Stegostoma tigrinum: one gene and its partners. The protein of the gene in region 3 interacts with the protein of the main gene of each other region in a pairwise test. Links are inferred from orthologs where the notes say so. Each region holds a gene or a part of one and is shown on either strand. Other genes may lie near its edges.

Evidence for each region.
Region 1: the proteins of kif2a (region 3) and la-related protein 1B-like interact in binary tests that used the Homo sapiens proteins (3 or more experiments, as listed by UniProt). The two-hybrid records come from large-scale screens. The link is inferred for Stegostoma tigrinum from reciprocal best matches to the Homo sapiens genes KIF2A and LARP1B.
Region 2: the proteins of kif2a (region 3) and fam13c interact in binary tests that used the Homo sapiens proteins (3 or more experiments, as listed by UniProt). The two-hybrid records come from large-scale screens. The link is inferred for Stegostoma tigrinum from reciprocal best matches to the Homo sapiens genes KIF2A and FAM13C.

What each region holds. Positions count from the first base shown.
Region 1 is NC_081354.1:29,669,882-29,677,488, reverse strand, and holds the start of la-related protein 1B-like, read left to right. Parts: upstream 1-4,560; 5' UTR 4,561-4,707; intron 4,708-4,852; exon of another isoform or gene 4,853-5,199; intron 5,200-5,216; exon of another isoform or gene 5,217-5,814; intron 5,815-6,143; 5' UTR 6,144-6,229; coding exon 6,230-6,629; intron 6,630-7,607.
Region 2 is NC_081373.1:50,601,957-50,609,952, forward strand, and holds the start of fam13c (protein FAM13C), read right to left. Parts: upstream 3,072-7,996; 5' UTR 2,878-3,071; coding exon 2,674-2,877; exon of another isoform or gene 2,491-2,673; coding exon of another isoform or gene 2,470-2,490; coding exon 2,322-2,469; intron 2,021-2,321; coding exon 1,967-2,020; intron 1-1,966.
Region 3 is NC_081354.1:120,260,543-120,267,992, forward strand, and holds the start of kif2a (kinesin-like protein KIF2A), read right to left. Parts: upstream 3,060-7,450; 5' UTR 2,914-3,059; coding exon 2,853-2,913; intron 1-2,852. UniProt on the Homo sapiens protein: Plus end-directed microtubule-dependent motor required for normal brain development. May regulate microtubule dynamics during axonal growth. Required for normal progression through mitosis. Required for normal congress of chromosomes at the metaphase plate.

The DNA of each region.
Region 1 (7,607 bases), about 91 Mb from region 3:
AAAAGCCTGTCCACTATCTACAAGGCACAGGAGTGTCCTAGAATAATCCCACTTGCCTGAGAGAGTGTATCTCTAACAACATTCAAGAAGCTTGAATAACTAATAACAAAGCGGCCCATTTGATTGCCTCCACATCCAAAACATCCAATCCCTCCACCACCAACACACAGCAGCAGCAGTATTTACTGTCTACGAAATGCACTGTAGAAATTCACCAAAATTCTTGGACAGTAAATTCCAAACTTTTCACTACTGCCGTCTAGAAGGGGAAGGGAGCAGCTACACAGGAACGCTGCAACCTGAAAGTTCAGGCTTGGACTATATCGCTCTTCCTTCACTGTCAAAATCCTTGAACTCCCTAATAGCATTGTGTGTTCACCTACACAAATTTGACTCAGTAGTTCAAAAAGGCAGCTCAAGACCATCTTCTTGAAGACAGCTAAGGATGGGCATAAACACTGTCCCAGCCAACATCTGCAGAATACATTTTAAAAAACTGAAAATCTGATTGTACTTCAAAGATTGCTTATGCACAAAAAAACAGTTGGAGGAATCATGTGTTAATTTGCATTTATACAGCACTTCAAGTGTGAGAAGTGGTGCTTGTCAGGTATGTAATGCTGGTTCCTTACGATATGGCACTGACAGCCCATACTGAAGCTTACTTGCAGCAGCCTGTATATCAGTGCTTTTTGGCCAACAAGGAATTTGGATTGGCAGTAAGCATCAAAGTTGTAAGCCAGGGCTTAGTGATTTACCCTTCCATCAATATCAACAATCTCATTCTGGAAGCCATCCACAGCTTAACATCCCTTTGATCACCCATTATCAGAAATATGTCCCTTGATCTCATAATCAGAAGTAGGTTTGCCAAAGCTGCAATTGTCATGTCAAAATTGAGAATGAGAGTGTGGGGCAAACTAACCAAGAATACAAAGCTCCACATAATCCTGGCTTGTGTCTCAACACCCTTCTTTACAGTAGCAACGCATAGACAACTTAGACAGATTCTACCTCTGCTACCTAATATGAGTATTAAGCATCACCCGTTAGGACAGATTACTAAAATACAATAATATAGAGCGTGTTTGCTGTCAGGAGTCAGTGGCACCTCTTGGTTTGTTCACATGCACTGCATGGGTGACAGCTACATTTCCAAAGACATGGTCAATGATGAGTGTACTATTGGCATGAGAACAACAGGCGACCTATGTCTACAATCCAATGATCCCAAATGATCAAAATCCCAAGGGATCAGCATGAAGCATGTGAAGTCTTTGCTGCTGACCAGAGTGCCAGGAAAAAACGCAGTCAAGTAGCCTGGAAAAAGCAGTCGGTAAAGGAAATGACCAGACAGTGGAAATGACAGCCTGGAGAAAGGTAGAACATCAGATATTTTCAAACCATCCTCTTCAGAGATATTATTATAAACTCAGGTGGGACTTTAACCTAGGCCTCCTCTTTCAAAGGTAAAGATACTACCACTACACCACAAGACCCATGAAAAATGCATCAGTCTACCTCACGCTAATGTTATATATCTGCACTAAATGAAGAAATTAGACTTTAGGACTGTTGACTCCCAGCTTGATCAAAAATATATCATAAAATTGTTACTATGGTCACAGAAGCCATTTACCGAATGAGTCAGCCATTGCTTTCTGAGCATTTAGACTTAATGGTGAACCTCTTTTTCCCCATAGTCTTACACATTGCCTCTATTTAAGTGGTCATCTGTGCCCTCTTGAATATCTCAGTTGAACCTGCTTTGAATGGACTTCCAGGCATTGCATTCCAAACCCAGACCACTGGCTGTATGAAAATGTTTTTTTTCTCTCATTTCACATGATTGTCAAAATTGAAGCGATTTCAGCATATTGTACATCATGCAATTCAAAGCTATAATCATTTATGTCACATATTCTGTTGCCCTCCACAAATTCATGGGAAACTCCACACTTAGGTTTGCCCTGTGAACAGGACAAGCACAATTGACTGCAAACTGTTGTAAAATTTTAGATGTGTCAATGTTTCAGAATCTATCATGAGATATGCAGTTTTTAAATCAAAGTAAACCTCACTCAATAAAAACCGAAAGAGCTGCAGATGCTATATATGAGGAACAAAAACAAAGTTACTGGAAAAGTTCGGGAGATCTGGCAGCATCTGTGAAGGAAAAAAATAGAGTTAATGTTTTGGGTCTGGTTTTGAGAAAGGGTCACTGGACCGAAAACGTTAACTCTTTTTTCCTTCACAGATACTGCCAGACCTGCTGAGCTTTTCCAGCAACTTTGTTTTTGTTCATTGTTTAAGCCTCACTCACTATTGTGGTAGCCTCTGAAATCTCAATATCCCTCATAGGCCTTCCAAACTACCAATGGTAAAGTGGTGGTTACAAATTAATCAAAGTATTAATACAGTGGGTTATGCAAGCACTGAATTGGAAAGAAGTTTTGTTTTTAGTTGCTCATGGAATTTAGATCATGGAGAGCCATTGTCATAGTCAGAGTTGTTACTACGAGAGACCTTTAAATCCATCATGTCTGCCAATCATCAAATATCCATCTGTTCTAATCCCATTAGAATGATTAAAATGCTTATCTAAGTAGTTCTGAAATGTTGTGAGGTGTTCCCCACCATCCCTTCAGGCAGAGTTGCAGATACTCACAAGCCTCTCAGTGAACTTTTTCCCTTAAAATCACCTCTAAACCTCTTCCTTCTTACTTTAACACTGTGCTCATTGGTTATTGATTCCTCTATTAAGAGGAACTGTTTTTCTCCATATGAACTATGTTTCTCCCCTCAGAACTTTGTATACCTCAATCAGACACCCGCTCAGCCTTGTCCGTTCCAAGGAAAACAACGTCAGCCTAACTGATTTCTTATATAGTGGAATTTCTATAGCCCAGGCAATATCCTGGTGAATCTTTTCTGCATCATTTCTAGTGCAATTACATTCTTTGTGCAGTGTGACGATGAGAACTGCACACAGTACCCCAGCTGTGGCCTGACTAATATATACAGATCCATCATAACTTCATCAAAAACTGTCACTGGTTATGCAATGCCTGTATTTATAGGCCATTCCTAATTAACCCTAAACAGAGTGACACATTATTTCGTAGAACTGTTAAGAGTTATGTTAGAGGGAAGCAACATTTTATACTGTATAAAAGTGAATTCCAATTGACTAGCAACTGGATTCCAATTAATGAGGACATTGCCATGGAGAATGTATCCATTAGACAATAACTGACATTTAACTGCCACAATTTGTGTAAATTTAAAACGTGCAGGTTGACTTTTTATCAAGACATTGCCCTGATGAATGTAGCCAACAAGATATTCTGCCGATCAGACAGATAAATAATTTGGTAAGTGAATTTCAGTATTGGTCTGATGCTAAATATTTAGGTTATACATCCCAAAAACTAGGAGATGGTATCAAATAACATGTCCTTTCATCTGTTCTTAGCAAACAAAGTATTTATGCAATACTTGCTTAGTAAACCTCGAGTGTGCTAGAAAATATGATGATAACCAATGTAATTTAGTCATTTCTGCTCATAGCATGGCACACTTGTCTGCACTGAAAGGTACATATATTAACGCACAGTGTCCCCATTTGCAGACCGAAAGACCATGTCACACACTGCGCTTGTCTCTCAACAAGAGACAACTGGTTTATTAGCTGTACCGATCAGACTCCACTTGCCTCAGTTGGTATAGAAATTGATCCCTTTTACGTTTGAATTCTAATCGATATACCGATTAGTGCATGACGCAATGCTTTGATAAAATGTGTATTTTTCAGTAAAGTGTTTATTTTCACAAAATCTATTCTATTTAAGAAATTTTCTCGCAGTTTAAGTGTGTTGGCATGCTTAAAATGTTGTAGATCAAACTGATCGGATACGTAATTACACATTTCTGGAGCACGTGGGACTTGAACCCGTGACTAATAGTCCAGTGCATTGCACCAACAGATATCCACGTTTAAAATTGTAGGTACTTTCATCAACTTACGCATGGATGTTATATCTTCATGGAACGAGTGGGATTTGAACCCGAAATTGGGACACTACCACTTCACCAGTACAGCTCTATGTTTAAATTCTATTCAACAAGACTTAATTACTGAGCCCATAAGATGGGCTGAGTATGTATCTTCCAGACGAAACAAACAGTTTTTGATTTCCTTTTACTCGTGGGCCCAGCTTTGCTGCAGGAAGCCAGCATAGCCCACAGCACAAACAAAACCACTTGAATTAGCATTTTTCTGAAAGACCGATGAGACCGGGCGTTATTACTTTTGCATGGGGTCTGGGAAACCAAGTAACGCTCACTGCCAACGCACCAGTGATTGGATTGCGCATGTGGCTTGCTGCTCGGTAAAGCTCGCTGCAAAGTGCACACACATTTCCGGCGGCGTGATTTGAAAGGAAGGAGAAATGTCGGCCACCACCTATTTTGTTGGCGTAGGGAGGGGGATGGAGAAAGTGGAACGGCGCATGCGTTAGCCCATTCACACCTACCCCTGTCGCCCCACCCCCTCTATCTTCGGAACGACCGAGGACGGAAAAAAAGAAGCGGGCAGTGCGCAGGCGCAGCGCTAGCATCTAGCTGTCGATTAACATGGTGGGAGCAAAGCATGTGTCAACTTAAGAAAATGGCAGCGGTCTAGGGGGTGCAGGAGTTGAAGTGGAGGTGTGTAGTTAAACGAAGAAGAATCGGAGCCCTCCTCGGATTGAAGACGGGAGAGAAGAAGGAGAGACAGCTCCGCCTTGGGTGGTCTCGGAAGGGGAAGGGAAAGGAAAGGGAAGGGAAGGGAAGGGGGGGGGTTGTGGTTGTGGAGTAGAAGAGGCGGCGGCGGCGTGGAACCACGTTTGTTGCAACGCTCGAGTTCCGAAGGGGTGCCGCTCGTCCTTTATTTTTGAAGTCCACCATATTGTGCTGGTGGTGACGCTGGGTCGTCCTCTCCCGGTCCCTGCTTTCAATTCGCTCGCAGCTGCTTTTCGCAATCTGGAATTCCCCGCAGGACTTCGTTTTCTAATTCTCTCCTCCCTGTGCCCCCGAATAAGAAATTTCGCTGAGACATTCAACCTAAAAGAGAAAACACGTTTTCCCTCTGGAGTTTTTTTCCTTAAAAATACACGATTTGCCTGAGAGAGAGAGTATATTTTTAGGTCCTGACCGAAGGTAAGATGAGGAGGTGGACATGACTCTTCATTTTGATGTATGGCATTGAATTGACCTGTGGCAGCCGCGTTCCCCTAAATGACCGTTATGGAATCCCCGGATTCAAATTTCTCACGTATTTTGGGGATAATTTGAGAAATAAATTTCTGTGGGATCTGGGGAAACAAACAATAAACAAGGCCTGTTTCCACAGTAACAAGCTGGGTGGCGTAACAATGGTGTATAGCGAGACAATCCCGGGGAGAGGATGGGGGCCTCTGGGCCGCGGACTGACGCCCAGGCCCCGCGGAGAGGATGGGGGCTGGCGGAATGTGCCTCAGGCCCCAAGGGAGAAGATGGGGCCTCGGGGCCGGCGAAGTGTTCTTCCAGCCCTGGTGGAAGCGGCTAGGGGGGTACCGGGCCGGTGGCGTGTTCCCCAGGCCCCAGGGAGAGGATGAGATCCCTGGCCCGGCTGGGTGTTCCTAAGACAGGGCCTACTTCGGTGTGAGGCGCAGCACTTATTCGCACGTGGTGGCCGAGATCTGGTGAAAGCTTAACCAGCTGATCAGACTCTTCACTTCCTTCTCCTCCCCCCGCCCCAACACCCTAGTCTCCTAACAAGCAGCCTGAGGGGAGGTGAGCAACAGAACGCATGGTCGTTATTAACGTCAAGACCTAAATAACATGTATATTTATTACCTTAGAATACATATTCTGCAATCTCCCTGCCTTCAAGTAATATTTAGAACAGCTGTTTGCTTACACGCTGGTCCGGCTGTGTTTTATTCCCCTTTTCAGGTGTTTCTTTCGTTTTCACCCCATCCATTTTTAAATCTCCTTAACTTTGCTCTTGTTCAGGTGTGGGGGAGAATCACTTATTGCCTTTATGCTTTTACTATCAATGGCAGATTTTTAAAGTGAGGTAACGCCTTTGTAATTGCCCATCTTATATTTTAATTTAACAGTAAATCGTGACTATTTTAAAGCAAATTATTAGTGGAAGGCCGAAGGAAGAGCGGTGAATTTGGGCACCGGCCTAACCGTGCCGCGCATGATGACCACCGAAGTTGAATCGTCTCTGCCTCAGGCTGCAGATCACGGTACTTCCCTTCAGCCATCCGATAGCAGTAACGGCGGTGGCTTTGAAGAGGAGACGACCCGTGACTGCTCCACGTTGTCCTCGGCTTCTGGTGGAGACGAGGAAGCGGACAACGATCTATTGGGGAGGTTAGAGCTACAGCCCGGAGGCCGAGACCAGTCCGAACAGCGGAGCGGCCCGCTGGAGGTGGCGACTGACGCTGAGAATAAGGAAAACGATCGAAGCCAGAGGGATTCGGCGGAGAAATTGCAGAAAAAATTCACTGAAGCACCTCCTCCTAAAATCAACCCATGGACCAAGAAGAAAAACATGGTCACGAATAACAGCGTGAATGTCAACAACCAGGAGACAGGTTTGTGCTCGGGATTTGTATTTTTCAAGTATGATTGAGTTCTCTTGAAGGAAAGCTGCAAATGTGATGGTCAAGTAGCGACGACCTTTACTTCTGTAATCACCTGTAGTATGTTACTTATCGCAAAGTTGTGATTTTAAGTGGTACGTTTTCATTTTAAAACGAGCGTTTAACAATCACTTGATCTGATGTGCTATCTTAAAAAAATGCTTGGATTGTTGTATCTTTAGGTCTGGTGCAGCAAGTGGCCCATCATTTTGATTCTTTTTGGAGCCAGATCTTCTAAAATGAGTGTTTTTTTAAAAAATCTGTAGACAGTCCATGTTTTCGTGCTGTTGCCATTTTCGTAAGTGTCATTCATCCATTTTATTTACATAAAAGGGCGTCAGATTAAGCAAATCTGAAAGGTGTGGTTTGTTTACACGCACTCTGAAATAAAATTAAGCAAGATTATTATTTTAAATTAAATAACCTTTGGTAACATCGGCGTTTTTTGTGTAGTTGTTGGAGGAAGGACGTAATTGGCTAACTGCATGTTTATTCCAGGGAACTTGATCAAATTTGAGTTTGACGCAACTGTATACATGATAATTAGGACCTATGCTTTGCTAACTTAAATTATAAATTTAGAAAGTCAACAGTTTTGATCTTCCTACTGTTAAAGTGATATCACCAAGTCGACGATAAAAATCCAAGTTGCTGTACCCATAATCCTACCTGTGGTTTAAAACTTTGTTTTTTTTCTGTGAATAATGTCTGTTTCCAACAGACTGTGTTCATTTTTTAATTTAGAAAAATATGAATTTGTTAGATTTCTCTCCGATCCATCTATCCCAATTCTTTTGCAGCTATTCCCTCTGAAACTAGTGGCCGATTTTGCTGACGAAAGCACATCTAGTATTACAGCGCAGTTTGAATGACGCCCGTTCTCTCTCCCCCCGCCCCCCACCGTTTCTGATCAAATTTCGGTCTACCACG
Region 2 (7,996 bases), on a different chromosome or scaffold from region 3:
GGGTGAACATTTTGCAGGCCAATCTCTTTCAGGTACGTTGGACGTCGAGCGATGTTAAAATGTACCTTGGGCTCAATTTCCCTTCCACCACCCGCTTAGAGAGCTAGACTCTTGTCTACTAAGAATCACACTAGTCGGTCCTCCTGCACTGCCCACGGCAGCTCTGCTTCACTTGACATGCTCATTTGAATATGCTAATTAGCACCTCAATATGAACAGGATCCCAACACCCTGTTGAAGCCGGCAGCTCAAACGTTGACAGCAGGCATCGAGCTATTTAACCAGTGACTCAAGGGACTGCTGTGGGTGAGTCGCTTTGTTTCTTTTCTTTAAAAGCTTTTATTGCAGCTCCTTTTGTTCGCAAAAATCTCTCAACCCCGCACAATGCACCTTCATGCCTTGCTATGCTTCCCTGGTCCGCTCTGTTTTTACCAACCCTTCTACTCCTGACAATTATCTTCCCAGTGGACAATGAGGAGCATTAGGAAGGCCTGTTAAACCGTGAAAAATCTAAAATAACTCCATTTCAAAAAGCCGCACTGAAATTTTAAAATCTCACCTGCATCTGTGCAAACAAAAAAAAAGGTTCAAACCCTGTGGTGGTACATGATCAACCGAGTCACATCTCTATTTATTACCATTCACGACTCTTCTCTGGACTAAACAGAGAATCTCCGCTGTGTCCCCAGTCCTATATCACAGATACTGGGTCCCCTTTACATTAACATTCGGTAGCTTCAGTCACTGCACGTTGACACCATTCTATTCACGCTGGGATAACTCACATACACCTGACACTTGATTTCACACAATTTACGTCAGGATATGCTCCTGCTACTTGGCTGTTCTGGATCATTTACAACGTCATACACACTGCATTGACCTCCTTTTATGTGCTTAGCTTCCCAACCTGTCTGGGTAATGAGTGATACGGTTGACTGCGGTCTTGCAATTGTTCAGAGCTTTGTTTTTGGATTTCATCTTCATCAGAATGAAACACACCTCAAACCCTCTACTACCTGATGGAGGTCTCTAGTCAAAAGTTAATTGCTTCAGATTCAGAAATATTGCTTTAGGCTTATAATAAAGAGCATCTTGTGATTTTATTACCATCCAAACCAGCAGTCCAAAGAGCATTTAATAGCTGTATTTCCATGTAAACAGCACATGACCACACAGGAGTCAGCAAATATTAAGTGCTTGATCTATAAACATCTAAAGTATAAGTCTGCAATGAGATAACTACCCCTCAAAAAATCCAGCTTTTGAATGGATCCATTGCCCTTCGGACTAGTTCCCAGCTGAGCTTATGCGTCACTGTTAAACCAGGTCCTCATGAATTTATAGTGAAATCAGTTATTTTCGTAATCCTGTGCCAATACACCTGCAAATTCAATTACAGCCTGCATTGTTCAAACAAAATCTCTTGAAAGAACGTGACACATTCAAAATCTGACTTTCAACCCGTGAGCTTTTAAAGAACCAATATCACCGCTAACTCCATGACACGGAGGCTGTCATCCAGTTCCAACAAATGCTTCCAACTCGTTTCTAAATGGGTCAAGTGTCGTTCATGCATTGGGACTACTCTGTGGCTATGTAGTGGACAGGAACGATTGACGTGCGTGGCTTGAGCACTCAAAAGCTGAGCAAAACGGTGATATCAGCCCTTTCAAACTCAAGAACACAACCCAATTATGAACGAAAATGAAAATCTGGTTTGTACGCGAAAGAAACAAATTGTGACCGGCTCCTGCTCATGACCAAGTATTACTGAACTAATCCACACCGTGTCTGTAGAGTGTAAGTGAGGGTACAATATAAATAAGGTACCCCCCCCCCCCATACACACACACACACACACACACGCTGCGGTTATTAAGGGAGACAAGCAGTAATGTGACTGGGTTAAAAGGGCAGGTTTCCGAGTTTCAAATGGTAGTGTGTAACGACAGAAGGTACTCACCGTCACTATCCTGCCGGTGCATTAATTTGAAATCAATAATTGGGGCAGCGCGCTCTGATAAAACAAAACAACGTATCAAATAAAACAAAACTGGAACGGAAGGACAGACATTCATTGTCGTAAAGGAAACTCAACATCCACTTCAATGATTTTAAAAAAGCACAACAAAACTGAATTTAAAACAAGATAACAAAATGATTGACACCCTGGATTTGTAAGACAGCAGTTTTGCTAAAGCACGTGAAATGAATTTTAAGGCGTCCATTTGGACAGCAAAGCACAGGACACTTTCTGCATCCAACAATAAGACATTAAATCTTTTAACAGTCTGCTGTAAATGCATTAAGTATCTTACCCCCACTGCTTCCTTCATCAGCAGCCCCGTTCCGATTGATTTGAGGGGGTTGCTCCTTGCCTCTTTGTGTCCCAGGACTTTCCTCGGGGCTCGGTAAAAACGACGAGCACAGGTCAATGTCAAAGCTCTGCAGCTTCATCAAGGAGTTCTGCAAACAAAAGCAGAACATGATGCCATGAAATGCTGCTAGCACGGACGCCAGGCCTGCCCAAGGCTGGCGAGTGGGGGGGGGGGGTGCGGGGGCAAAGAGATGCGGTTCCACCCTGAAGCACTCGGGTGAAGGGCCACTTCCAGTTTAAAACCATCTACTCGCGAGGACTGACATGCTGCTGGCGCTCTGCAGCTCAAACACCTTTAACCAGCACAATCGTGAGTCAAGCCAGCAGCGGGGAACACTCATTCCGTCAGCAGTCTGTGTGCTTGTCAGCCAGCCAATCTGACAAAGCATTGAAATTATAGTCTCATGAATACCCTGCTGCATCTGTACAATAGTTTCATCGAGCCTGCTGACATCATCTCTGCTGACAATTGGCCCCTCCCAGTGCAGTCCATTCATAAAATCCCGGAAAGGATAGTAAAGATTGAGCCAGGCAATCCATCAGTCTACATTTGCAGCAGCTGTCTTCCTCCTGGGGAGGAATATTGATTTTTGTTTCGCATTCGCCAGCGTGGGTTTAAATCAGTTGCAAACTAAAAGTCAGCAGAATGTATTTTTAATCCATTCAGATAGAGGTGAAGCCTTCTCTCTCTCTCTCTTCCCCCCGTATTCTTTGGGCAGAGTTCTGTAATAAACGTGTTGTTCATTTTCAACATCAACGAGCCCAGTTCAGCAGAAAGGCTCCGGGCAGCATGACTGCGATAAAAGGAGCCGTTACCAGCATCTCTCGCTTGTATCCACTGTTGACCCTCGGTCGCTGGACCTACATGCGCAGTTACACGCACGTAAATATGCTCGCCTGCACGTCTTGTCAGCAGCAAACCGGCCAATTCCAGCCTGAATGAGGCTCAACTTGCAGCTTCCTCATATACTCATCATTTGATCCTCACTACATTTTTTTTAAAAAGTCCCCCTCAAAAAAAAGCAAGCATACTGGTCAGTAGGAACATTATTTACAAGGATGAAAAAGACAAATTAAACAACTTCTGTCACTCAGGTTTAATGCATTTTCCGTAACTTTTCAACAACTTGCCTTTGTACAATATCATGACTTTGAAAACCCAGGCACACAGGAACACTGAACAAGGGACCGGGGCAAATAACTTGGTTAAAGATGTAGGTTTTGAGGAGAATCTGAAAGATCACTGATAAATGATATGACATTGAAGGTTTGTAATCTTGCCCTCAAAAGGATTGGGAGGCAAGAAACAGGCTTGACCAACAGGACACTGTTTAATACAGGCAGAAGAAGAGGGTGCTGATTGGTCATTGCCTTGGAAACAATCAAAAACAGTTAACTGCCAAACTTTTTCTCAGGCCAGAGATAGCAACAACTGCAGGTGCCGGACAATCTGAGATAACAAGGTATAGAGCTGGATGAACACAGCAGGCCAAGCAACATCAGAGGAGCAGGAAGGCTGACGTTTCAGGCCTGGACCCTTCTTCAGAAAATGGGTCTTTCTGAAGAAGGGTCTAGGTCCAAAACGTCAGCCTTCCTGCTCCTCTGATGCTGCTTGGCCTGCTGTGTTCATCCAGCTCCACACCTTGTTATCTCAGATTCTCAGGCCAGTCAGGTAGAATCTGATTGGTTGGGTGCTACAACTGGGGATGCTTCACTTGTTTCTAATCAGAGATAGTAAGAACAGCCGATGCTGGAGTCTGAGATAACAAGGTGTGGAGCTGGATGAACACAGCAGGCCATAGAGCATCAGAGGAGCAGGAAGGTTTGACGTTTCGGGCCTAGATCCTTCCTCAAAAATGGGGAGGGGAGCTCAGAAATAAGCAGAGAGAGGAGGGGTGGGGCTGGGAAAGGTGGCTGGGATGGTGATAGGTGAATGCAGGTAGGGAGTGGTGGGGATTGATCAGTGAGCGAGATGGGAGGAGTGGGTACGTGGGAGAGAAGATGGACAAGTTGTGTCAGGTCAAGGAGGCGGGATGAGAGGGAGGGTTGGACGTGAGATGAGGCAGGGGTTGGGGAGATTTTAAAACCAGTGAACTCCATGTTTAGGCCATCGGGCTGTTGGCTCCCGAGGCGGAATATGATGAGACGTTCCTCCGGTTTGCGGGTGATGTCATTGTGACACTGGAGGAGGCCCAGAATGGACATGCCACCCCAGGACTGGGAGGGGAAGTTGAAGTGGTTCATGAATGGAAGGTCTTGTCGTTTCTCATAAACAGAGCGTAGGTGCTCTACAAAGCGGTCTCTGAGCCTCTGCTTGGTCTCACCAATGTAGAGGAGACCACACTGGGAGCTGCGGATGCAGTAAATCACATTGACGAATGTGCAGCTGAACACCTGCCTGATGTGAAAGGTTTTGGATCTTAACAGGAGGTGAGGGGAGAGGTGTAGGGGCAGGTGTAGCACTTCCTGCGGTTGCAGGGAAAGGTGCCGGGGTGGTGGGGCTAATGGGGAGTGTGGAGTGGATGAGGGAGTCACAGAGAGAGCGGTCCCTACAAAACACAGATGGGGGTTGGAAGGGAAATATATCTTTAGTTGTGGGGTCAGACTGTAAGTATCCAACCCTCCCTCTCATCCCCACCTCCTTGACCAGTGCATCTTCTCTCCCACCTATCTGCCATTCCCACCTCACTCACTGACCAATCCCTACCACTCCCTACCTGCACTCACCTATCACCTTCCCAACTACCTTGGCTAGCCCCATCCCTCCTCTCTCTCCTTATTTCTGAGCTCCCTTCCCCCACCCCCATTTCTGAAGAAGGGCCCCAACCCGAAATGTTGACTTTCCTGTTCCTCTGATGCTGCCTGGCCTGCTGTGTTCATCCAGCTCCACACTTGTTTCTATGAGTCCAGTTTTGAAGAAGGTGCAAGGTATGGCCAAAGTCCTTTTGCCTATATCAAACAAGGTCCTGTACATATAACTTCCGACACTTGTAAATGCATCACACTGACGATTTTAAATTGGTTTCCAGTGCAACTATTAGCATAGTCAAGATTATTCAGTAAAGTAATTCCAGTCGCAACATCACTTCTAATGGTGGACATGATTTTCTGTGTGTCGTAAGAACAGACTGATTAAGCACATTTTGCATGGTGTCCACTGTGAATGGTCAATGAGGTGTGTGTTTAATTTGACCCACCAGTTATTGGATACAAAGCCCACATACCTAACACAGCACCAACACTGAAACTCACATCACGTTAGTTATTTGTGTGGTAAGCTTAACAACCTTTTGGCTTGACAGCAGCATTGTGTTAGTGGGTACGTGTGTTTCCTGATGTCAATAGTTATCAAGATTTTGCAGAGGGAGGAGTGGAAAAGTGATACTGGAGAGCTGTTTCCAGTATTCTGCATGTTGGAATGTTAAGAGTTTTTAGGAACTTACGAGATAAGGTAAAGGACAGAGATGGAGCAAACTCTTGAGAAGGGACAATCTAACAAAGTGTTTCCAAGATTGACTGCAGGAATGAAGAATTTCAGTGATGAGGATAGACTGAAGAATTTAGAACCCTTCTCCTCGGAAAGAAGAAGGCTGAGAGGTGATCTGATAGAGGTTTTCGAAACCATGTGCAGGCTGACAAAATAGGTAGGGAGAAGCTGTTCCCAACAGTAAGAGGAAGAGGTATGAGAGAAAATGGATTTAAAATGATGTGCAAAGGTGATGTGAGAAAGAACGTTTTCACTCAGTGAGTAGTTTCTTTCTGGAATGCACTGCCTGGAAGTTTGGTGGAGGCAGGTTCAATTGAGACAGTGCAGAGGGAATTGGATGAGTATTTCGATCGAAATACTGTGCAAGGGTATGAAACAGCAGGAGCTTGTAATGATGTAATAATGATCATTTGAAGAGGTGGTACAGGCACGATGGGCTGAATGGCATCCTGCTCCTCCATAATTCTGAGGAGTAGCCTCTAGCGTGCATTACAGACACCCGATGCCCTGAACCTCATTGTAGGTAGAATCCATGAGGGTAGAATAATGCAGGCTTGAGTCCATGGGATCAGAACAGCCCATGGAGACAGTAGCCAGAGCACAAATCCAGGTGGCAGTGATGTTTGCACCAATGCAACCCTGTCAGAATTCTGTGCTCTTCCCGATTCTTGCCTCTTTCATATCTTTGATATCTTTTGCATGTATTCAGCCATCCACGCCACGAATTCTCACCTCCTCTTAACTGGAGGCGGCTCAGAAAAGATTTACAACTGGAAGGTTAAAAGGAGAGGCTATGACTTTTTTGCTTGGAGCATAGAGGCTGAGGGGTGACCTTGTAAAAGTTCATAGAATTGTGACGGTCACAGATAAGGTGAATGGCCAAGGTCTTTTCCTGAGAGTAGGGGAATCCAAAGCAAAAGGGCATAGTTTTTCAGTGGGAGAGAAGAGATTTAAAGGGGACTGGAGGAGCAACTTTTCCACACAGAGGGTGGTGCATGGATCTAACTTAAATGCCACAGTAAGTGGGAGAGTTAAGTACAATTACAATATTTAAAAGACATTTTGACAGGTATACGGATAGGAAAGGTTTAGAGGGATATTGGCCAAACACAGGCACATAGGTTTAGAAAACCAATTTATTTAGCAACATACCATACAAATAAGCCAATGATGTTTGGACTATATCACTACCTCCTGGCAATCAAGATATTCACCAATGTCATGAAATTAACAACTCACATTAATGTGTTCAGTTTTAATGACACTATGTACTTTCAAATCGATGGCATTACCACATGACACTGTCTAGATCCTGCCCGAGTTTGCATCTTTGTTGGGCACCATGACAAAATACCTTTGCTGGAAAGAGCACTGACTTTCTACTCCCTGGCATTGTGACAGATTTGCAATACGCAAATCTGTAACTGCATCAAAGAATTTCTTTACACGGCATAATAGGATCCAACTTGTGCTCAAATTTACCATTGCACTGGAGCAATCAAATGAGGTCCCTTTCCTTGATGCATTAGCTGAGAAGTCTGACAATGGATTCTTAACCAGTACTTATCAAAATCCTACACTCGCTGATCAATATACACATTGCAATTACTAATGTCTGACATGCTACGAGATCAATATTACTGACAATATTGTGAATAGGACCTAGGCATCTGATCACTGTGTGAGCTTAATAATAAGTTAGGACATATCTAAACCATCCTGCATGGTAACAGATAACCTGATCAAATCACTACTTATTGTCAATCACAAAACTCATCGAAGGGCCTATGTCTTCCACTTCTGAGTGGGGCCCAGGGTCCCTCAGATTACCCTGGAAGGGGAATCCCAATAATTTAAATAATGGTTGAAAGTAACTGTCTCTCATTGCTATTATGAACCATCAGATATATCTTTCTATCATTAACATTCATTCCCATGATTTGGCAGATTGTGGGAGGTGGGGGGCTTGGTGTTGGTGTTTACAGGGAGAGAGACTGTTAGGCTTACAATATTAGAGTCTTCTTCATGTTGCATTGATTGATTTCTCTTGTAGTCCCCCAAATGACATTTTTTAAAAAAAAACTGTTACTATAAGAGTTGAGGAATAGCCAGAGGCCGTGTAAATACCC
Region 3 (7,450 bases):
ACCACTGTACATGGTGTTCATTTGTCTCAACAAGACATGTGACCATATGAGCAGTGGCAGACTATTCAAGCCACTAGGGAATAATGGCTGCCCAGCAAAACTGCTCACTGACACCTCCTCTTTCCAAGATGTCAGGTCAGCTATATTGGCATATCAGACGCCTACGAGATCTGCAGTGAGGATAAGCAGGGTCATATTCTGGCACATTCTTCCCTTCACTGCTGATATTTAGCTTCATGTCATCTACAGCTAAATACCAAAACTGGCAGAAAGCTGTTTGTCCTTACTTTGAATCTCAGATAAGCATTCTATACTGAGCAACACCTTCAGTGGTAAATAGATAGACTCTCAAACTTGTAGTGTAACATGGACATCAGTATTGGGAAAACAAATGTCACGGTCTGGGATACCATTATTTACCAGCAACAGAAAAGTAACTTTGGATGTTAGGTAACAAGGTGTGGGGGTGGATGAACACAGCAGGGCAAGCAACATCCTAGGAGCACAAGAGCTGATGTTTCGGGCCTAGACCCTTCTTCAGAAAAGCCTTTTAATCAGAAAAAAGGGTTTTTCTGATTAAGGGTCTAGGCCCGAAACATCAGCTTTCGTGCTCCTAGGATGTTGCTTGCCCTGCTGTGCTCATTCAGCCCCACACTTTTATCTTGGATTCTCCAGTATCTGCAGTTCCCATTATCTCTGACTTTGGATGTGGTTGACAGCTTCACATTCAACATCACCCTAATGCTGAAAATTAAAACACCAGTTACAAAAGCTGAAACTGTTACTTCCAAGCAAAGTAAGAGTGCGGAATAATTTCAGCCTCAGAATACTGATCAAGGCTCCCAAGCATGCATCCTAATAACATAGCTCTGCAGTGTTCAGACACGGACAATATATGCTAGACAGGAGTAAAGGGTGAACAGTTTCCACTTTAACTGTCTCAGGCATATCATCAGCACGTCTTGACAAGAAAAGGTCATAAACTCAGGAGGTACCATGCCAATGCTGGCCCACAGTCCACAAGTGAATTAAAAAATTCCATCAGCATACACTCAGTGCTAAACTAAATGGTGTCAGCACAAACTTGGTCACATGAATCAGATAGATAATGGCCATATATCCAAAGACATTCACTGTACTGAAGTCGGCTCTGGGTTAACCCTCCGGGATGCCCATACTTCCTCTACAATGACATCTGAAAACATGTCAAAGGTGGTCAAACATATGCTAACAGACACTAACAACTGGGAGACAGGCGCTGATAGCCCTGACCTCGACAGGCAGGCTGCTTGGAACAGGTGAACAGAAACAAAACAATAGCTTTGGGGAAAGGAGGGGTTGCGAGGAAGAGGTGATGAAATAGGCCAAAAAAGAATCTTGATTCAAAATATCAACAGTTTCCCTCATTATAGATGCGGCCAGAACCCAGTTTCTCTAATTTTTCAGATTTTAGGTTGAGCTCCTTCTCAGCCTATTGTCTCCCTCTCCAGCAACTGAAGAAAAAAAAATCATGGACAGTGAAGCACCTACATACCACCAAGCAATATTTAAAAGTTAATCATCATGCACGACCAATCATTTTACTCTCCTGGGTACCTTTCTTTGACTGAGGTTCCACCCATTTTTCATAGGTGAATGGAATAAAAAAAGAAATTGCTGGCAAAACTCAGCAGGTCTGGCAGTACCTGTGGGGAGAAAGCAGAGTCAACATTGTGGCTGGTGACTCATCAGAACTCCCCAGGACAAAGTACACAACCCCAAAGATGCTTTCAGAACTGAGTTTCGCCTGCAATTTCAGTTTGTGATTCAGGTCTCCAGCATCTACTGTTCTTTGTCTTAATTTTAATGCAGCACGTGAATTGGGTTTTCCCAGTGTCAATAACAAATAGAACACATGCTAACATATTAGCTCTGTACGTGTGATATTACTGTGTGCAAACTGATGTTAAACTACTCTTGTGCAGGAAACGTGACAATGGGACTTCATTAGCTCCTTAGGAATGCTTAGAAATCACAACAGACGAAAAAGGAACCTCCTTTCACAATTGTGAACTTAGGTTGTCCAGGAGAACGAGACAAATTCCAGAATACAAACTTTATTTCTTGATAAAGGGGTTCCAGAATCCGATCAAAAACGTCTGTACAGAAGCCATATATTCCTTTCCAAGAGCCTCACACCCAGTTGACACCAGTAACAGGCCCTTCGTTCTGCCAAATAATAGAGAAGCACAATGCGCACGCGCAGTCTGCAGCAGCGCCGCAGCAACGCGCACGGCGAAGACGGGAGGGGCGTGTCTGAACACATCGACCCCCCGCCAACTCTTTTGAATGAACTCTCCTCACCATCACCGACTTCAAACCTTTGATTTTCTTGTTTTTATTTAACACAAAGAAAACTGAAAACGTCCGAATTTCTCCCTCACACAAACACCAAAATAAACTGACTCTTGCACAAGGAGAGCGCTTCGCCTTCGCCCGGCTCGCGCCCGCCCCCCCACCAACGCGCACGCGCCCAACCGCTGCTTCTCGACGAGAGCGCGCTCCGACAGGGCGTGATGGTGGCAGTAACAAACGCCGGCCGCCAAATACCGGCGGGGCTAGCACAGCCGGCGCGTCTCCGAGACAACCGAGTAATTAACACCTTCGGGGAAAAAAATAATCTGTCAACCGAACTCCCTCCTTCCCCCCCCCGCCTTCTCCCAGCCCTCAGCTCGAGAAAGGGTCACTCAGACAGCTCCCCACCCAGCTCTAGCGCAGAGGCGGCCGTTGCTAATGTTTGTTGAACCGTCTCCTAAACAATGATCCCGAGAAGAGGCGCTCAAAAAAAAAATCCGTTCCCCACTTCCACTAACCGTCGCTCCGTTTGATTTCGACGTAAATCCCGATTTGGACTTTTCCAAAATTGACAGCCATACTTCGTCCGCTAACATTCGTCGCACGATATCACAGTTGATTGGAAATGTATTTAACCGTTGACGTTTTCTTTCCCACCCTTTCAAGTTTGCTGACACTTCCTCTATTCCCTCTCCACAATTACCGGGCAGCGAGAGTAGCGCCAGCACTACTGCGCATGCCCAATCACCTCCCCTCAGTCAGCTCCTCATCAATATAAAGGCAAAGTGGATCTTTCTCCTTAATCTTGGGATTTTAATGCTACGCCGACAAAAACCGGCTATTGTTGTCGTTTCCAAGATAACCCTCTTTTTGAAAAGTATGTATCCCGCAGGGGTATAATAAGGATCAAGAGAGATGCTCCAGTTGCTCGAAACAGAACCAACACAAAGGAAGATGGTGTTTGTTAGAAGTGGATGAATCACACAAAAAAAAACCTTCACGTGCTGGTAGAACAATTCATTTATGCACTCAGTCCAGATGTTTAAAAACATCTACTAAATCTCAAGTTGAGGCCTAACCATCTTTTATCCATGCTTTATCATAATTTGCTTGTTTTGTCCTCAATGCCCTATTTATAAAGTCTAGAATTCTGTACATTCAACCACTTTTTCCTACTCTCCTTGACACCTGACATTATTTGTGCATGTATACCTGGGTGTGGTAGCACCATGGTTAGCCCTGCTGCCTCACAGAGCCAGGAACCTGGGTTCAAATCCACCCGTGGGTGACCACTGAGTTTGCATATTCTCCCTATGTCTGCATGGGTTTCCTCTGGGTGCTCTGGTTTCCTCCTACAGTCCACAGATGTGGCAGGCTAGGTGGATTGGCCATGCTAAATTGCCTATAGTGTTCATGGATTTGTACATGAGGTGGATCATAGGGAGCTAGATTTGGGTGGGATCCCCTGAGGTTCAGTGTGGACTTATTGGGCTAAAGGGCCTGTTTCCACATTGTAGGGATTCTATGATCAGGGTTCTTCTGCCCTGGCACCCTCTTCAGAATTCTATATTTTATTGTTATATTGACTGTCAACGTTCTTCCTTTTAAAATCACTTCATCACATCTCTGAATTAAATTTTACGTGCCCCTTTTCCAAACATTGTATCATCCTGCCTAAGTCCATTCATGTCAGATGACCCAGAGACCATTTTTGGAAAACCAGATATGACCTCTGCAAAGCCACCAGGGATGACAAGAGGGAGTACCAGACAAAGTTAGAGGCCCAAAGCTACCAAACAGACTCCTGTCCCCATGGGAAGGCCTAAATAACATTATGGGATACAAAATTCAGCAAAGCAAGATAGCGGCCAAAGACACAATTGTTCTTTACATGCTCGATGCTTTCTAAGCTTAGTTTGAGCAGAATGCCAGCGGCACAATGACACCTGTTCCCTCCATCGCTGCTGCAGATTTCAGGTCAGTCTTCCTGAGAGTCAACCCAAAGAAAGCAACAGACCCAGATGGTGTCCTTGGCCAAGCAGTCAGATCCTGTAAGGACAACTGGTGAGGTATTCACTGACATCTTCAACCTCTCCCTCCTATAAGCTGAACACTCCACCTGCTTCAAGAAGACCACCATCATCCCCATACCTAAGAAAGCGCATGCAATGTGCCTTAATGATTACCACCCAGTGGCTCTGACCTCGGTAATCATGAATTACTTCAAGAAGTTGGTCATGTCCTACATCAACTCCAGGTCATGACAATCAATCTTGAAGCTTATTGCCATCATTCTCACAATTCACACAATTTCCAAATTTTGTGTAATTTACAAATTTTGAAATTGCTCTTTGCTTACGAAGCCTCGGTCATTAATATAGATAAAGAAAAGCAGTGCACATCAGACTCTCAGCCTGTCTCAATCCCCTACAGTTTGCTTATTGACATAACAGGTCCACAACTGGATTCTCAGTTGTCTGACCCACAAACTGCAGTCAGTGAAGATAAGTAACTCACCTCCTTCACAATAACACTCAACACTGCCCCTAAGGATGAGTCCTCAGCCCTCTACTGTACTTCCTGTACACTCTCGTCTGTGTTGCTAAATTCCGAATGAATGCCATCTACAAGATGGATGACAATACCACTGCAGTTAAGATGGATATCCAACAACAACGTGGTGCAATGAGAACAACTCTCTCAATGTTGGCAAAACTAAAGAACCGATCATCGACTTCAGAAAGAAAGGAGGGGAACACATCCCCATCTACATAAATGGAACTGAGGTTAGAACGTCAGGGAAAGTGTAAAGTTCCTCAGAGTGACGATAACTGACAAGCTGTTGTGAACTTCCCACATAGATGCCACAGTCAAGAAGGCACAACAACACCTCATCTTCCTCAGGCAGCTCAGGCAATTTGGCATGTCCATAACGACCCTCAGCAACTTCTACAGATGCACAATTGAAAGCATACTGTCAGGTGTCTAACGGCCTGGTATGGCAACTGCTGTGCCCAGGACCGTAACAAATTAAGGAAGTGGTGTGCACTGCCCAGACCATCACAGAAGCCAAACTTCTACCAGTGGACTCCATTTATAGTTCGCTGCCCCGGAAAGGTTGCCCACATCAAGAAAGACCCATCAATATCCCATCAGTGATCTCTTCCATCAAGCAGAAGGTATAGAATCCTAAATACATTCACCAGCAGGTTCAGAAACAACTTTTCCCCAGCCATTATTAGACTGTTGAACACACTCTATAGCCTCAAATAATGCTGATCTTCCTAATGTTGATCTCACTTGATGCATACCCCGTGCAATGTAACTTGTATGCCTCTAACTAAGTCTTTTTACAACCTCTAATCTGTACATCCTTGCTTAACATGCTGTACTGTTCGTAAACAAAGCTTTCATTGTACTTTGATACACATGACAATCAATCTTGAAGCTTATTGCCATCATCCTCACAATTCACACAATTTCCAAATTTTGTGTAATTTACAAATTTTGAAATTGGTCTTTGCTTACGAAGCCTCGGTCATTAATATAGATAAAGAAAAGCAGTGCACTTAAAATGAACTCCTGGACAACATCACAAGATAGCACTTCCAGTCTGAAAAAATAACCATTGGCCAGTTTTAGAGATAATAGGAACTGCAGATGCTGGAGAATCTGAGATAACAAAGTGTGGAGCTGGATGAACACAGCAGGCCAAGCAGCATCTCAGGAGCAGGAAAGCAGACGTTTCGGGCTTAGACCCTTCTACTGCTGTTGCTTTTACTCCATTGCCCAAACTTTACTGCCAAGTCTGTTATGTGGCGTTTCTTCACATGTTTTTTGGAAGTCCAAATGCTCATCGACAGCATTGCAGTCATCAACCTTCACTGATACTTAATCAAAAACCTCAAATTTAGACAGGGATTAGCTGTGCAACCTTTTTAAAGCAAAATTATAACAGATGCAATTCTCCAGGGCTCTGGCCCCATTCCTGCACCTAAGGAGGAATGGAAGATTAATGTTAGTGATTCTACAAATTCTACCCTTACTTCTCTGGATGCATCTCATTCAGCCCCAGTAACATTGTTTTAACCACAACCAGGGCTGATTAAACCATTAATAAGGTTAGACACGAGGTCGGTGACTATGATATGCTATAATCACAATATATGAGAATTTGTGAAATTTCTTCCTGACAATCATATCTATGGTAATGGTAATTGTTTGAGGCTTGGTATACTTTGACTCAGAGATGTTGAGTTGGAGTTGCAGATATGGAAGAACTTTAGGAAGGAGGAAATTTACATAGATATTTTTCTTCTCAGAAGGCAGTTAAAGTCAGGAACAGGATTTCATTACTACAATGCTCACAGCATACACTAGCACGTTATAGACCAGGACTTCTATCAGCTTTTAATCACAAAAATACCTTTCCCCCAAACTGCTCCCTTTTCTTTCTTCATGTTCACAGTCTAAAAATTACCGTTCAGTTTGCAGTGCATCTGTCCCTTTGAAGTTATTTTCTTTAAGATTGATTTGACACCTTTCAGCTATGATCTTCCATGATTTACTTCAAGGCTGAGGATACTCCACACAGCCCATTTCAATCTACCAGAGCCTTATTATCACAAATTACATTGCTCAGAACTTACAGCCATTTTATTTGACTGCATGTCCTCTTAAAAAAAACAAACATGTAATTAACAGTTCAGTATGCCACTAGCTGATCCATAGTTACTACCCATCATCATGCAGAAATAGTAACAGTCATGTTTTGCTCATGTTGAGGTTGTACAGGACATGGATGAGGCCTCTTCTGAAGTACTGTGTGCATTTCCAGTCACCCTGAAATAGGAAGGATAATATTCAATTGGAGAGGGTTCAGAAAAGATTTACCAGAATCTTGCAGGAATGGAGAGTTTGAGTAATTAAAATAGGTTGGATAGGCTAGGACTTTTTTCACTGTAGCCTGGGAAGTTGGGAGGTAATCTTATAGAAGTCAATAAAGTCATGAGGTGCATAGATGAGGTAAATTCAAGGCTCTTTCCCTTAGAGTGAGGGAGTTCAAAACTAGGGGGCATATTTTTAAGGTGACAGGAGTAAGTTTTAAGAACGACAT